Linked DNA regions of Oryzias latipes. The protein of the gene in region 2 purifies or fractionates together with the protein of the main gene of each other region. This does not show direct contact. Links are inferred from orthologs where the notes say so. Each region holds a gene or a part of one and is shown on either strand. Other genes may lie near its edges. The genes, in order: anks3, nek7 and anks6.

Region 1 (4,376 bases), on a different chromosome or scaffold from region 2:
GGTTAACTTTTAATACTTCTTGGTCTGGTCATCACCTACATTTCTTAGAGATTTTATGTCTTTACTCTCTGCAGAAGAAGAAGCATCTCGCGCCCTGAAAACTCTGCGCAGCTCTAAAGCTCCTCTGGCTAAAAAGAGGCAGGTGATGAGAGCCATGACTGGAGACTACAGGAAAAAAATGGAGGAAGAGAGGACAAGGCAGTTCAAGCTCATTCAGGGAGGTGAGTTGAATGTTACGCAAAGAGTAAAAGTTGTTTATGTGACAAGTTATGTCACAGATGCATTGTTAAGTGATGGTTTGGTTTTTTTTGTTTTGTTTACAATAGAGATTGCATCAGCTCAGGTCAAAGTTGCATCAGAGGCCCCAAAGAAATCTGTTTTCCATAGAAGAGCAGGAGTCAAAACACAGAAACTGTCAACAGATGAGAACCTGCATCAGCGTGAAGGCCAGGATGATGCAACACCACAGTGTCACACAGAGACGTCATCTTTTCTCTTTGTTCCTTCAAAGGAGGAATTTTGTTTCAATTTTTTCTGATATTTTTTTTTTCTTTTTGTTTTGCACTCTGTGACTTTTCTCAAAACTCTTGTTATGTAACACCCAAACAGTAAAGCTTTCCTCAGGATATTTTTTATCAAGAAAAGCTTGCCTCAAGATATTTTTGTCAAAATGCAAGAAAATTACAAAGTAAATACATTTAGCATATCAGAGCAGGAGTTTGCTCTAACTTAATATCTACTTTGTTGTTTTGTTGAACCTATCTAAAGAAAAAAACTAATTTAAGGATGTCTTATGAGGTGACTTAAGCATTGTCACATCACAAGACATCCTTAAATCAGGTGACTCAATGCATGAGTCACCTGATTTAAGGATGTCTTGTGATTAAATCCTTAAATCAGGTGACATAGTAAAATTGTGTAGTGTACAAATATGAAACTGAACATTCAAATGTTTTCATTGTTATTTTGAAGTTCTTTATTTCAAAATAAAAGTGTTTCAATTTATTTTTCTGAGTTTCTTTATTTGGCACAGACATAAGCTAGAAGAAATTAGTATTCATATGAAGAATTTATGTTTTAAGTAGTTTTTTTGTGTTGCTTTCCTTTTAAGCATTTGGTATAGTTAAAAAAAACTTTGAGCAGAGAGAGGGTGTTGGTGAAATTGTAACTAAGCTGTTGAAGTCTGCAACGGGGAGTGAAAAAAGGTTGATTGACAGAGCTTTATGAAGCGGTAAAATACTACTTTTTTGTTTTAAATAATTATTTGTTTTAATAATTGTGGATTTTGGGTCCGACTTTTAAAACTGTTTTTTTAAATTTCTTTCATTATTTTGAGGTAAAACATTTAATACTTTTTTTCAAAATATATAAAAAAAATGTTTTCTTTTAATTTTATGACGAAAATAATTTCCAGTAAAAGTTTTCCCCGCTTTTTAACCGGAAAAGGCGGGGCTCGTTTCTGCACGAGCCTGATTTGATGTAACATACAAAACAAAGAAAGTTTGGGGTTCCAGATGCCTTAATTCAACTCCTGACTGTAAGTTTTTATTTCAAGATACGTTGATTTTTATGTATTGATTTCTTCTTTTCATTAAAATTGTCATAACATAATTTTGCATTGAGTAACGGCCTTTTCGCCATGCTAGTTTAGCTCAAAGAAGAAAGAAAGTAAGTTGGGGACAGATTTAGTTTTCGTAGGGAAAGCACCACGTTTTCGTGTTTTTACTTCATTTCAGGCACGAACGAAAATGTCGGAGTTAAGTGATGAATCCAGTGAGTCGGAACAGCTGGGGGCCAGCCTCTCCCTGTGGCTTGGTGACCCCCTGGTGCGATCGGAGGAGCTGAATGTTCCTCTGGACCTTCACACCGCCTGCTCCATCGGACAGTACGGGGTGGTGGCTGAATGCATTCAAACGTACGCCCCCCCTTATTTTTACTTATATACCGGTTGAGCTCGCGTACTTCCTAACAGTTCACGCGTTGTTTCAAGGCGTGAGGTGAACCTGGACGCAAAGAACATCGGAGGATGGACCCCGCTCATGTATGCCGCCTACATCGGCCATGACAACATCGTGAATCTCCTGCTGGAGGCGGGTGTGAACGTCAACTCCACCACCTCCACAGGACTAACCTCCCTGATGCTGGCAGCCAGCTGTGGGAACGAGAGCATTGCAGACGTCTTGCTTCAGGTAAGAAACCCCACTCCGTCCGTTCCTTTGAAGCTACCAGCTGCTTCCTCATTGATTGACGGCTCCTTCAATCTAAAAGCACGGCGCTGAGTTGGAGCTGAAAGACTCTCGGGGCTGGACGGCTCTGTTTCACTGTACAAGCACAGGTCATCAACAGATGGTCAAGTTCCTGCTGGATCACAATGCAGATGCCAATGTGAAGTAGGTATCTGTGTGTTTTTAACATGTTCTTGTGGCATTTTTCCGATGATGGAGGACATATAAGGAAAATTAAGCTAAAATTTGCATTTCTGGATATTTAAATTTAAATCGCTGAATCAGAAGCATATGAATAGTATTGTTGAAAAAATGATTATATTTTTTACTGGGCAGCCCACAAGCTCCCTGCTCTGCTCCATTCTGATGCATTCACTTGCAGACAAATTGATCCAACAGCTCTGAGGCAAATTTCAAATGAACCACTGTCGCTCTGCAGAAACTATGTCCTAGAAAACGATGAAGGTTTTTTTTATTTTGTCTTAAAACGGCATCATCATAATTAAAAGACCACTGGGAACATTCAAGATAACTGGAGTGCGACTTTAAAGTTTAGATTTCCCTTTTTCTTCCTCCAGAGAGCCAGGATCAGGGTTCACTCCCCTGATGGAGGCTGCAGCTTCTGGACACGAAATCATTGTTCAGTACTTGCTGGACCATGTGAGTACATCTTCTAGTGGCTGAGACCATTTATTCCCCATTATTTTTATGGGTTTTACCCAACAAAATAAGACACTCCGTACATTGAACATGGAATCACAGTGAGCCTTGTCCCACATCATGACCAGCTAATTTATTTACAGAAAGTTAAAGTTGATGACCGAAACGCGAAAGGAGAGACGGCCCGTGCCCTCGCCGCAATTTATGGTTATACCAAGATTGTCAGTCTCATTGACTCACGTTTGCCAAGAATGAGACTAGGTACTGTTTGGAGAACATTTTAGTTTATATTCCCAAAGTTTTGGATTGCACAGCTTTTTTTTTTGTTGCATATATTAATCAGGACACCTTGAAGACCTCAGCTCCTCGGAGGACTCTGACGGCGGTCCGCCGAGAATTCGACCGAGTCGAAGCCAAGCTAAAGGTGTCAGCATCCACGATGGGCCCCAGGCCATCGCCAAGTTTAGAGTGGGTGGCACAAGCAAGCTTGCTGGTAAAGTCTAAGAAATTATTGCAGAACGCTTCCCCATTTGTTTTTTATTTTTTTATCGGAAATGGTTCAGCAAACGGCTTCATTCTTTTGTCAATCCTAATTTTTTCTCCTGGCAGAGCCTTCAGCCGTAGCGCCAGGCTACATGTTTCCGGGTGAGCAGAGTGAAGGCCTCTGCCATCGCGATGTGACTTCACCAATCAACGAGCTGGACGGCCAGAGCCACAGTAGCAGAGGTAAAACACCCGTCTACCAGGAATAACAGCATGGTTTCCTATTTTTTTTTAAATTGTTAAGAGTTTTTTGGTGTAACCTCTGCAGATGACAGCCCGTTCTTTGAGAACAACCTGCCCACCATGAGGAGCAGCAGCAGCAGCAGTGAAGGCCTGCCTCATGTGATCAACTGTGAAGGCTCCTTGGAGAGTAATGAGGTGACATTTTTGAAATAAACGTCTTCTGTATGTGCTTCTCTTCTGCGTGTAGTCACTGCACATGTTCTGTTTTCAGGACTCTGATCCGTGCAAAAGGAGCAGCTCTCGCAGAGCTGCAAAGAGTCATCACTCGAAAGGAAAGAATCGTCTTGGAAACACTGGTGCTGGTCCTCCCAGCAGGTCGGGCAACTGCAAATGCACACGTGCTGCTCCACCTCCATCCTACAACGGCCCAAAGGCAAGTTTAGCTTTGCCTTCATTTTTCTGTCCTTTTTTTTTGTCTATGCGGATGTGTAAATAAATTCTGTCTATTATGTAGGACCTGGCGGATTTCCTGGAGCAGATCGGCTTTTCCAAATACCTCCCGCTGCTTGAAAAAGAGGACATCGACCTGCGGATATTTCTCACCCTGACAGAAAATGACCTTAAAGAAATAGGGATTACGTAAGATGCCCGACTTTCATCCTTTCAATCCGGACAGGATAATGTTTTGATCCATACTTGGCGCCGTTCTTCCACCGCTCATGCTCTTTAGGCTGTTTGGACCCAAACGTAAGATGACTTCAGCCA
Region 2 (3,649 bases):
CAAAGTGATCTCCAATGATCTATCATAGCTTACTGGACATTCAAGTACCTTAATAAACCGTTTAATACAAAAAACATTAAATCAATAAGAAATGTTACAAGAAACTAGTATAAAAAAATAAAAAAAAGGATCCCATATCTGAAAAAAAAGACCAAACACTCTTTATAACACCAAAAGATGAATTTCTTTTTACTAGGTGAGAGGTCCGTTTACTATTTAATGCATTTAAGCACTGTGCCTTATTTTCTATAATCCCAGGCCAATCAAAAGGATATTCATCTTGAATCCAGAGCAAAGCAGCTTGCTTACTTCCCATGAATGCATTAAAACTGCAGCTTCAGGGTTAATCTGTGTTAGGGGCAAAGGTGGAAGCAGCAAAGTGGCCTGTGAGGAGGCAATGCACAGCACCGAGGAGCCACAATGACTGCATGATGCATGTAAACAAACTCACCAGGCCTGGTTAAACATATCTGTTCTAACCAAGTTGAACAAGTTACCTAAAGAGTGAGCAGCAGTTGTTTTAGAGCTGAAGAATCTTCCCAGTCCCAGGTCTCCTAGTTTCACCACACCAGTGGCTGTGACAAATACATTGGCTGGTTTGATGTCTGCAAGAAGAGAAAAATGGAAAAACAATCCACAAATAATTCTTTTATTAACTGTTTTTTTTAGATACAACTCAAAACACATGACTAGATTAAAGCCATTATGATGTTGTTTTCGTTAATGTGGGCGTCTGCAATCTGTTTTCAGGAGAAAGTTAATGTGTCCTTTGAAATTGACTGTTCTCGTATAATTGTAAAGTGTCGCTGATTTGGCCGCCTCGTTAAGTGGTTGTTAAAGTTCAGAGCTCGGGGTTCATTAGTGTCCCTGTACCTTAATCAAAGACAGTCTAAACGGAAGTTTATCACCTAGAACTGGGAACGTGCAGCAGCCTGTGAACATGAATCCAGGACTTCAGCTTTAAGTGGCAGCTGAACTGATATGTGTTTAATAGAACTTGTTCACAGTAAAAAATCCTCAAGTTCTCCTAATGTTAGTTCTTTTCTTGTAATGTAATTTACTTTAATTTGGGAATGCCAAACAACATTTTACAAAAAAATAAAGAAAATAATTAAATTTGTTACAAATATTTAGTGCTATTATGATAAAACTATGATTCTGTCCTTTATGGGTGATATTACATCAATCTTCTGTCGTTGTTATGAAAAACACACATTTCAGACTTTTCTTGTTGCATCAGGATTGAGAAATCATCAAAACATAGTTTGCTTGTTTTTTGAATTAAAGTACATGATGATTTACCTCTGTGCATGACTCTCCGAGAGTGCATATGTTCAAGCGCCCTGCAGACCTGGACAAAGTACTTCCACACCGCTTTCTCTGGGATAAGTCTCCTCTGATTCTTGAAGTGCTGCAATAAGGAAGCACTCATGTTCACAAACACACAAAATTACCACAAACCATAGACATAACTAAATGAAACTTTTTTTTTTAATAAATGGTAGATAGCACATTGAGGGGCACATTATAAAAGGGTAAAAATAATATATATATGCATATAGGTTGAAGTGGTAACCTTGCCTATATTGTTTGACTTCAGTCCTAATGCAACCCAGAACAACTTCTCATTTGTCCCTTGCTTAACCAAGCTGAGACCTATTTTCTCTACAGCCTACAATGGAAAGCACATGTGTTCTTAGGAACAGGGAAAAGAAATTTGTGGTACCTTGCAAACCTCCCCCATCTGGCATACAGGACTTCAGTTACAGTGGTTTTGTGCTTCCACTTGTTCTTAAAGCTCAAATAATATCTAAATGGAGTACCAACTGACTTTTCCCCATAATCAGGATAGTGGCTCTGCTCCACAAAGAAACCATTGCAATGACAGAGTTTCATGGATCCGCAGTGACTTAAACCAGCAACAAATGACTGGAGCTTGGGCTTCAAGCAGCAGGGCAACAGCAGCGCAGACTATGAAACAGTATTAAGTATTGCCATAATAACAATTTTATGGGCTGCTCTTGAGGTTTTAGTTCCCGGAAAGAAGTGCCTGGACTAAAGCCAACTTGGATAAAAGTTCTGCTCGAGAATTAAGATTTACCCATTTAGCTAGGCCTTTTGCAAGGGAAAAAAAAGGGGCAAATGTGCTGAATTTTAGAGGAATATACAAGTAAGTAAACATAGAAACAGACAAAAAAGAAACAGCAAAGACTAATTGTCACAATTTTACTTTTTTAAGGCATCAGGCACTTTCCTTTGATGCACAACTTGAACCTGAGATTGTCCCTCTAATCATGTTATCATCATGAAGGATCTCTCTCCATCCAAAGACATTTGGTTATCATGCAGGAGGGGTTTGTAAAATTCAATGTTTTGGCTTCATCATTGCTCGGAATCTTCTTTTTGACCACATGATAACATGTTCTGTGGGCCCTTGGTTCAAAAAGGTGAGTTGAGTGTGAATGTAAGTACCGGTACACTAAACTGTATTAAATGAATATCCAATTAGACATCTCCAAAGGTAAATTTCTATCAACTCAGTATGTTGGTGGTGACGCCCAGCCCTAAACAATACTTTTTATTTATGTCTTGATTTTTTGCAAAAGTGGCTAATGTAGAATGTCTCAATTTAAAGAGAGGAAACACAATCTACACTCAAAGTTACCCTTTTAAAAAACATGTATTGGAAAAAATGTTATTTTGCTAATTATTTTCCCTCTGTGAAATCTGAGGTTTATCTCAGGTTAGGATACAACTAGACAAGAGAAAATTTTATTTTTAGTTAACATGTGAAAGAATGAAAAAGAAAGATGACAGAACAGTTACACAACATAAAAAATAGTAAAGATTAGTGCTGAGGTGACAGTGAAAGACACATAAAGGGAAGAAGAAAGGTGTGGGAGAAAAGAGAGGGATAGGAATAGATGGAGAGATGAAGAAAGGATGGGATAGACTTTGGCCTACATCCAAACAAAGCCTCAGTGAGGAGCCATTCTTTCCCTGTCCTCCTATTTCCATATCAGAGGGCCGTTTGATGTCAATGGGGGAGCACATAGACACCCACCAACACCCTCTTTTTTATGCCTTTAACAGCAAACACGGCACATGCAATATTCTGTAAGTGCATGCAAATCAAGAACCATTTGCTTTTGCTAGAATCCTGGGATGGTCAGAGTGAGTGAAAAGAGAAGTGGAAAAGAAAGAAAGGAGGATACATTATGGGGGGAAAAAAATTAAAATAATTAAAGGGTTGTGTGGGTAGTTGGTGGTGGTGGTGATGCTACATGTGGCACAAAAACCAAAAAATGCTTTTATTACTATAGACTGAGACTGTCTGGGCCCTGGCCTACTACTGTTACACTGAAAAAACATATGCAAAGCAGTGCAGGAGACAAATGGTGCACTGCAGATGAATGTATGTGTGATTGCATGTTCCCAGCAGACATAGTGATACGACAGAGCCTGGATGCTCACAGCATTCTCAGTCGCCAAACCGAGGTAACAGCGACACGCTGCTTTGTTTTCAAATCTCCTCAGCTGCCATGTAACATCTTTGTAAAAAGTAACTGAGAACATTTGAGGAAATGCGTTTCTTTGGCCGCATCTGCACCTTTCCTGCTTACAAAGTACCTTATATGTATGCTTAATT
Region 3 (3,649 bases), on a different chromosome or scaffold from region 2:
TGCCACAAGAACATGTTAAAAACCCCAGAAGAAAAATGTCATTGGAGTGGGCCTTTAAAATCAGGTTCTGGTGATTGGGGTACATTGTAAAAAGACGTGCTGCTGTGTGTTCTGAAGGTGGCTGTGGCTCAGCAGCTGGTGGAGCACGGAGCCGACCCGGACCGGATCAACGTTCTGTCCAAGACTGCCTTTGAGCTCGCCATGCAGTTAAAACAGAGGGACATCAAGGCCTATCTGGACTCCATCACCACTGTCAGACCTCAGACAGGTGCAGGTTCCTCTCAACTGTTTTTAAAGCACAGATTCAAGAATATCCCTCCTAACAGGTTTTTAACTCAATATCTTAATCTAAATTAACTTTCCTAAAGCTCAAAAAAGCGGATTTTGAAGTTTTCTGCATCAAAAAGCTTGAAAAACAACAATTACTCAGTTATTCTATTTGTTAGAATAACCATTCTGGCACAGCTACCTTCATTTAATTTGTTCTTTATAATCCTAGTTTTTTATTATGATGCCTTTTCTTTATTGCAAGTTCTATAAGTTAGAAACTGACCAATCAGATGCCTCGATATACGTTTGTGGTCTCACTTTGAATGTTGGAAACGATTGATTGACAGACTCTTCCGAGCCCACTTTCAAATGCTAGGGGGTGTGGCCTTCCAACAAGCTCACTCCTAATTGTTGAGAGTAGTTGCCATAGAAACAATGATTCACACCGACTTGGACCAATCATTGCTTGCTAATGTTGTCTGGCTCCACCATGTTGGGGTCTGTATCGCCAAAACATGGCAACTGAATAAACAATATGTAGTTGGAGCTGAAGTGAGCCATTTTTTTTATGGGTGACGTCACTCAGTCCAGTTCTCTCATACAGTCAGCGGCTGCAGAGCAGTGCAGACACCTGAAACAGGAACTTTGGACTAAAGTTTCTCATAAAACTACAATTTCTAGCATCATCCTTTCAGATTAGTAAATAAAAAGAAGTTTTCCAACGTTTCATAAATGCACATTTAACCATTTCAAATTCACAAATATGATTCTGAGGAAGTTTTCGATCAGCCGGCACATGACGTTCAGGTGAAGCGTGCTTGTATGGAAATGCCAGTTATCCCTCAGTAAGTGCTGTGGGAACGGGTTGACACCTCCTGTCTGTCTGAAGATGGTGATGAGGAATCTCTTTGATGTTTTTACAGCTTTTCTTACCATTGCTGTCAAATCACAATGCCTACAAAGTTTCTTTCTGGAGCTTTTTCTAGCGTGTTGATTCCTGCCCAAACGGACTCATATCAGGTTCTTGCCTGTGTCTCCACAGACGACTTGCGGAGGAGACCCGATGTGTTCAACGCTCTCAAGCTGGGTGAGCTCCGTCTGTACGCTCCGTAAAAATGGGTGGTGCTCTCATCAGTGCCTCATCTGGATTTTTAACCTTCTCTCAGGAAACTCCCAGCTTGTGAAAGAGATCCTGGAGGAGGACCCGGCTCAGGTGAACTCCTCTAACCAGGAGGGAGCGACGCCGCTCATGATAGCTGCAGTGAGCGGTCAGCTGGAGGTGGTGCAGCTGATGGTGGAGAAGAACGCTGACATAGACAAACAGGACGGCGTTCATGGGTGGACCGCCTTAATGCAGGCCACCTACCACGGGTGAGCTGGAGTTTCGGGGTCTGGTAGTTCATTTGAATGAAAACTGGAGCTCTTATGTGATACTAGCACTGATATTTGGCAACATAAAGCTCCAAAGCACAGAGGCTTTTTTTCTTCCAGCAACAAAGAGGTGGTGAAGTACCTGCTGAGTCAAGGCGCTGACGTCAACCTTCGAGCCAAGAATGGATACACAGCCTTTGATCTGGTTATGCTGCTCAATGATCCGGGTAGGCTTCCTCCTTTCTGATCGTCTTTCCAACCTGCTGTAATGAATAAAACAGCAAACAAGATTCTTAACAGTCTGTTAATATTTACTTAAAGGACTCAATGCTTAATAGTTAAATCATCATTTGATTTATTACGTTTTTAGAGATTAAAATACTGAGATGAGCAGCAAAATGTCTTCCTAATGAAACTTTACAGTCCTGGTGACTTAAGAAAAGTAAAGTAAAATGAAGATAAATATGGATTTAAAGCACATATAGTGCAGTTACAGGGCAGTAGAGGCCCTATTTTACCCTCATTCATGAAGCCTGTCATGAATGAGAATCTTTTAAATACAGTAATTTCAAAGTACATGCCACTTTTTTGGGGCATTGTTTGGCCGGCTGTGGGTGTGACTTATGTGAAAAATGTAAAAAGCAAAGACCACTAGAGGGCACTGTAGGTGTGTATATCAAATTTTGCTACTGACAGCAACACAGAGGGAGAAGCGCAGAAGCTCAGTCTTAAGTTGCATTCTTTGCAACACCTGTTGACGCGACAAATCCACTGAAAAGTCTATGTAAACATGTGTGAACGCATGTTTACGGCTTCTGCATTCAAAACTCGCGTGCTTACACGTAGCTACGGAAGTTTCTCTGACCGTTTTCGGTCTCTACTTCCTGAAAGTACTGCCATTGAATGCGGGTTTCAGTTCAACCAGGTTGAACTTTGACCAATCAGGGAACAACCATTCAAAATTTGATCATATGTGTCTGGCCAGAATTCAGTGACCCCAAGTCCTTTTTTATATATCGTAATCAATAGATCTGTGAAAGAAAAAGCCTGGAGCAAGATTTCAGTCTACTATTGCTATGACTTGTCTGAAAAATGACAGTAGTGTTGTTATTTCATGAAAATGTCTTAAAACATTTGAACTTGTTATCAGTTTGTGTCCATGTTTCACTATGACTCATTTGTTGGCCCCTCCTCCCGATTCTCACAGACACTGAGCTGGTCCGCCTCCTAGCGTCGGTGTGCATGCAGGTTGACAAGGACAAGTCGAAGCAGCGCGGTAAGGCGCTCATTGCGATCTCTAAAAGCAGACAGCCTTTTGCCTCCATCCCTGCGCCCCCTGATGACAAGGGGGGCCTTAAGGTAAAGAAGATTTGAAGGTTTACTGTTACCTGAGGTTGAAATTGTACCAGAAAAGCAGAACTGTTGTGTTCTTTAAAGACCCACTCTGATCTTCTTTTGAAACTTTTAAGTGTTCCAAGTGTTTTTTTTTATTATGACTATGCTGTTTTTAGCCCAAATCCAAAAGCCCGTGTGGTTTTTTTTTGCTGATATTTTCTGGATAGCAGCAGTAATTCATCAGAACTTTAACTCTGAGTTGTGGTCGGGACTGTTGGCGCCACCCCGTTTCCCCTCCTCAGAGCCCCGAACAGGGAGTTTAGGACCACGCCCGCTGTATTCTCTCAACACACTTTTTTTTCCAACTGCGTTTTTTCATCTGCTCCTGCTTTACCACAATTTAAATACATTTTACTCAAAAAACAAATTTGAGTTTAATTTCTTTATATATCAACAGAAAAAGGTCACAATAACACAATTTTCATCAGAATGGGTCTTTAATGGCCGTAGGTCTGAGTTTTTCCCCCTTTAGAAAGTCATCTCAATTTATCCTCTGCTATTGTTATAATTATTTATAGTAAATAAGATAACCTTTTTGCAGATGACACCCAGATTTATTTCACTCTTTCTTAAAACAATTTTTTTTCAATTTATTTGATTTGCAACTAAAGCA

The links.
Region 1: the proteins of nek7 (region 2) and anks3 purify together in Homo sapiens (affinity purification with mass spectrometry; 3 studies listed by BioGRID and IntAct, with this or other methods). This does not show direct contact. The link is inferred for Oryzias latipes from reciprocal best matches to the Homo sapiens genes NEK7 and ANKS3.
Region 3: the proteins of nek7 (region 2) and anks6 purify together in Homo sapiens (affinity purification with mass spectrometry; 3 studies listed by BioGRID and IntAct, with this or other methods). This does not show direct contact. The link is inferred for Oryzias latipes from reciprocal best matches to the Homo sapiens genes NEK7 and ANKS6.

The regions. Positions count from the first base shown.
Region 1 is NC_019877.2:9,256,613-9,260,988, reverse strand, and holds the start of anks3 (ankyrin repeat and SAM domain-containing protein 3), read left to right. Parts: upstream 1-1,427; 5' UTR 1,428-1,537; intron 1,538-1,575; exon of another isoform or gene 1,576-1,668; intron 1,669-1,736; 5' UTR 1,737-1,748; coding exon 1,749-1,915; intron 1,916-1,990; coding exon 1,991-2,189; intron 2,190-2,268; coding exon 2,269-2,390; intron 2,391-2,803; coding exon 2,804-2,885; intron 2,886-3,028; coding exon 3,029-3,146; intron 3,147-3,228; coding exon 3,229-3,378; intron 3,379-3,494; coding exon 3,495-3,611; intron 3,612-3,696; coding exon 3,697-3,806; intron 3,807-3,882; coding exon 3,883-4,044; intron 4,045-4,125; coding exon 4,126-4,250; intron 4,251-4,341; coding exon 4,342-4,376. Other genes in the region: c19h8orf33 (UPF0488 protein C8orf33 homolog), read left to right, coding at 75-221, 327-538. UniProt on the Homo sapiens protein: May be involved in vasopressin signaling in the kidney.
Region 2 is NC_019862.2:14,456,467-14,460,115, reverse strand, and holds part of nek7 (serine/threonine-protein kinase Nek7), read right to left. Parts: intron 1,412-3,649; coding exon 1,303-1,411; intron 606-1,302; coding exon 498-605; intron 1-497. UniProt on the Homo sapiens protein: Protein kinase which plays an important role in mitotic cell cycle progression. Required for microtubule nucleation activity of the centrosome, robust mitotic spindle formation and cytokinesis.
Region 3 is NC_019878.2:10,673,774-10,677,422, reverse strand, and holds part of anks6 (ankyrin repeat and SAM domain-containing protein 6), read left to right. Parts: intron 1-117; coding exon 118-268; intron 269-1,312; coding exon 1,313-1,357; intron 1,358-1,436; coding exon 1,437-1,641; intron 1,642-1,761; coding exon 1,762-1,868; intron 1,869-2,848; coding exon 2,849-3,000; intron 3,001-3,649.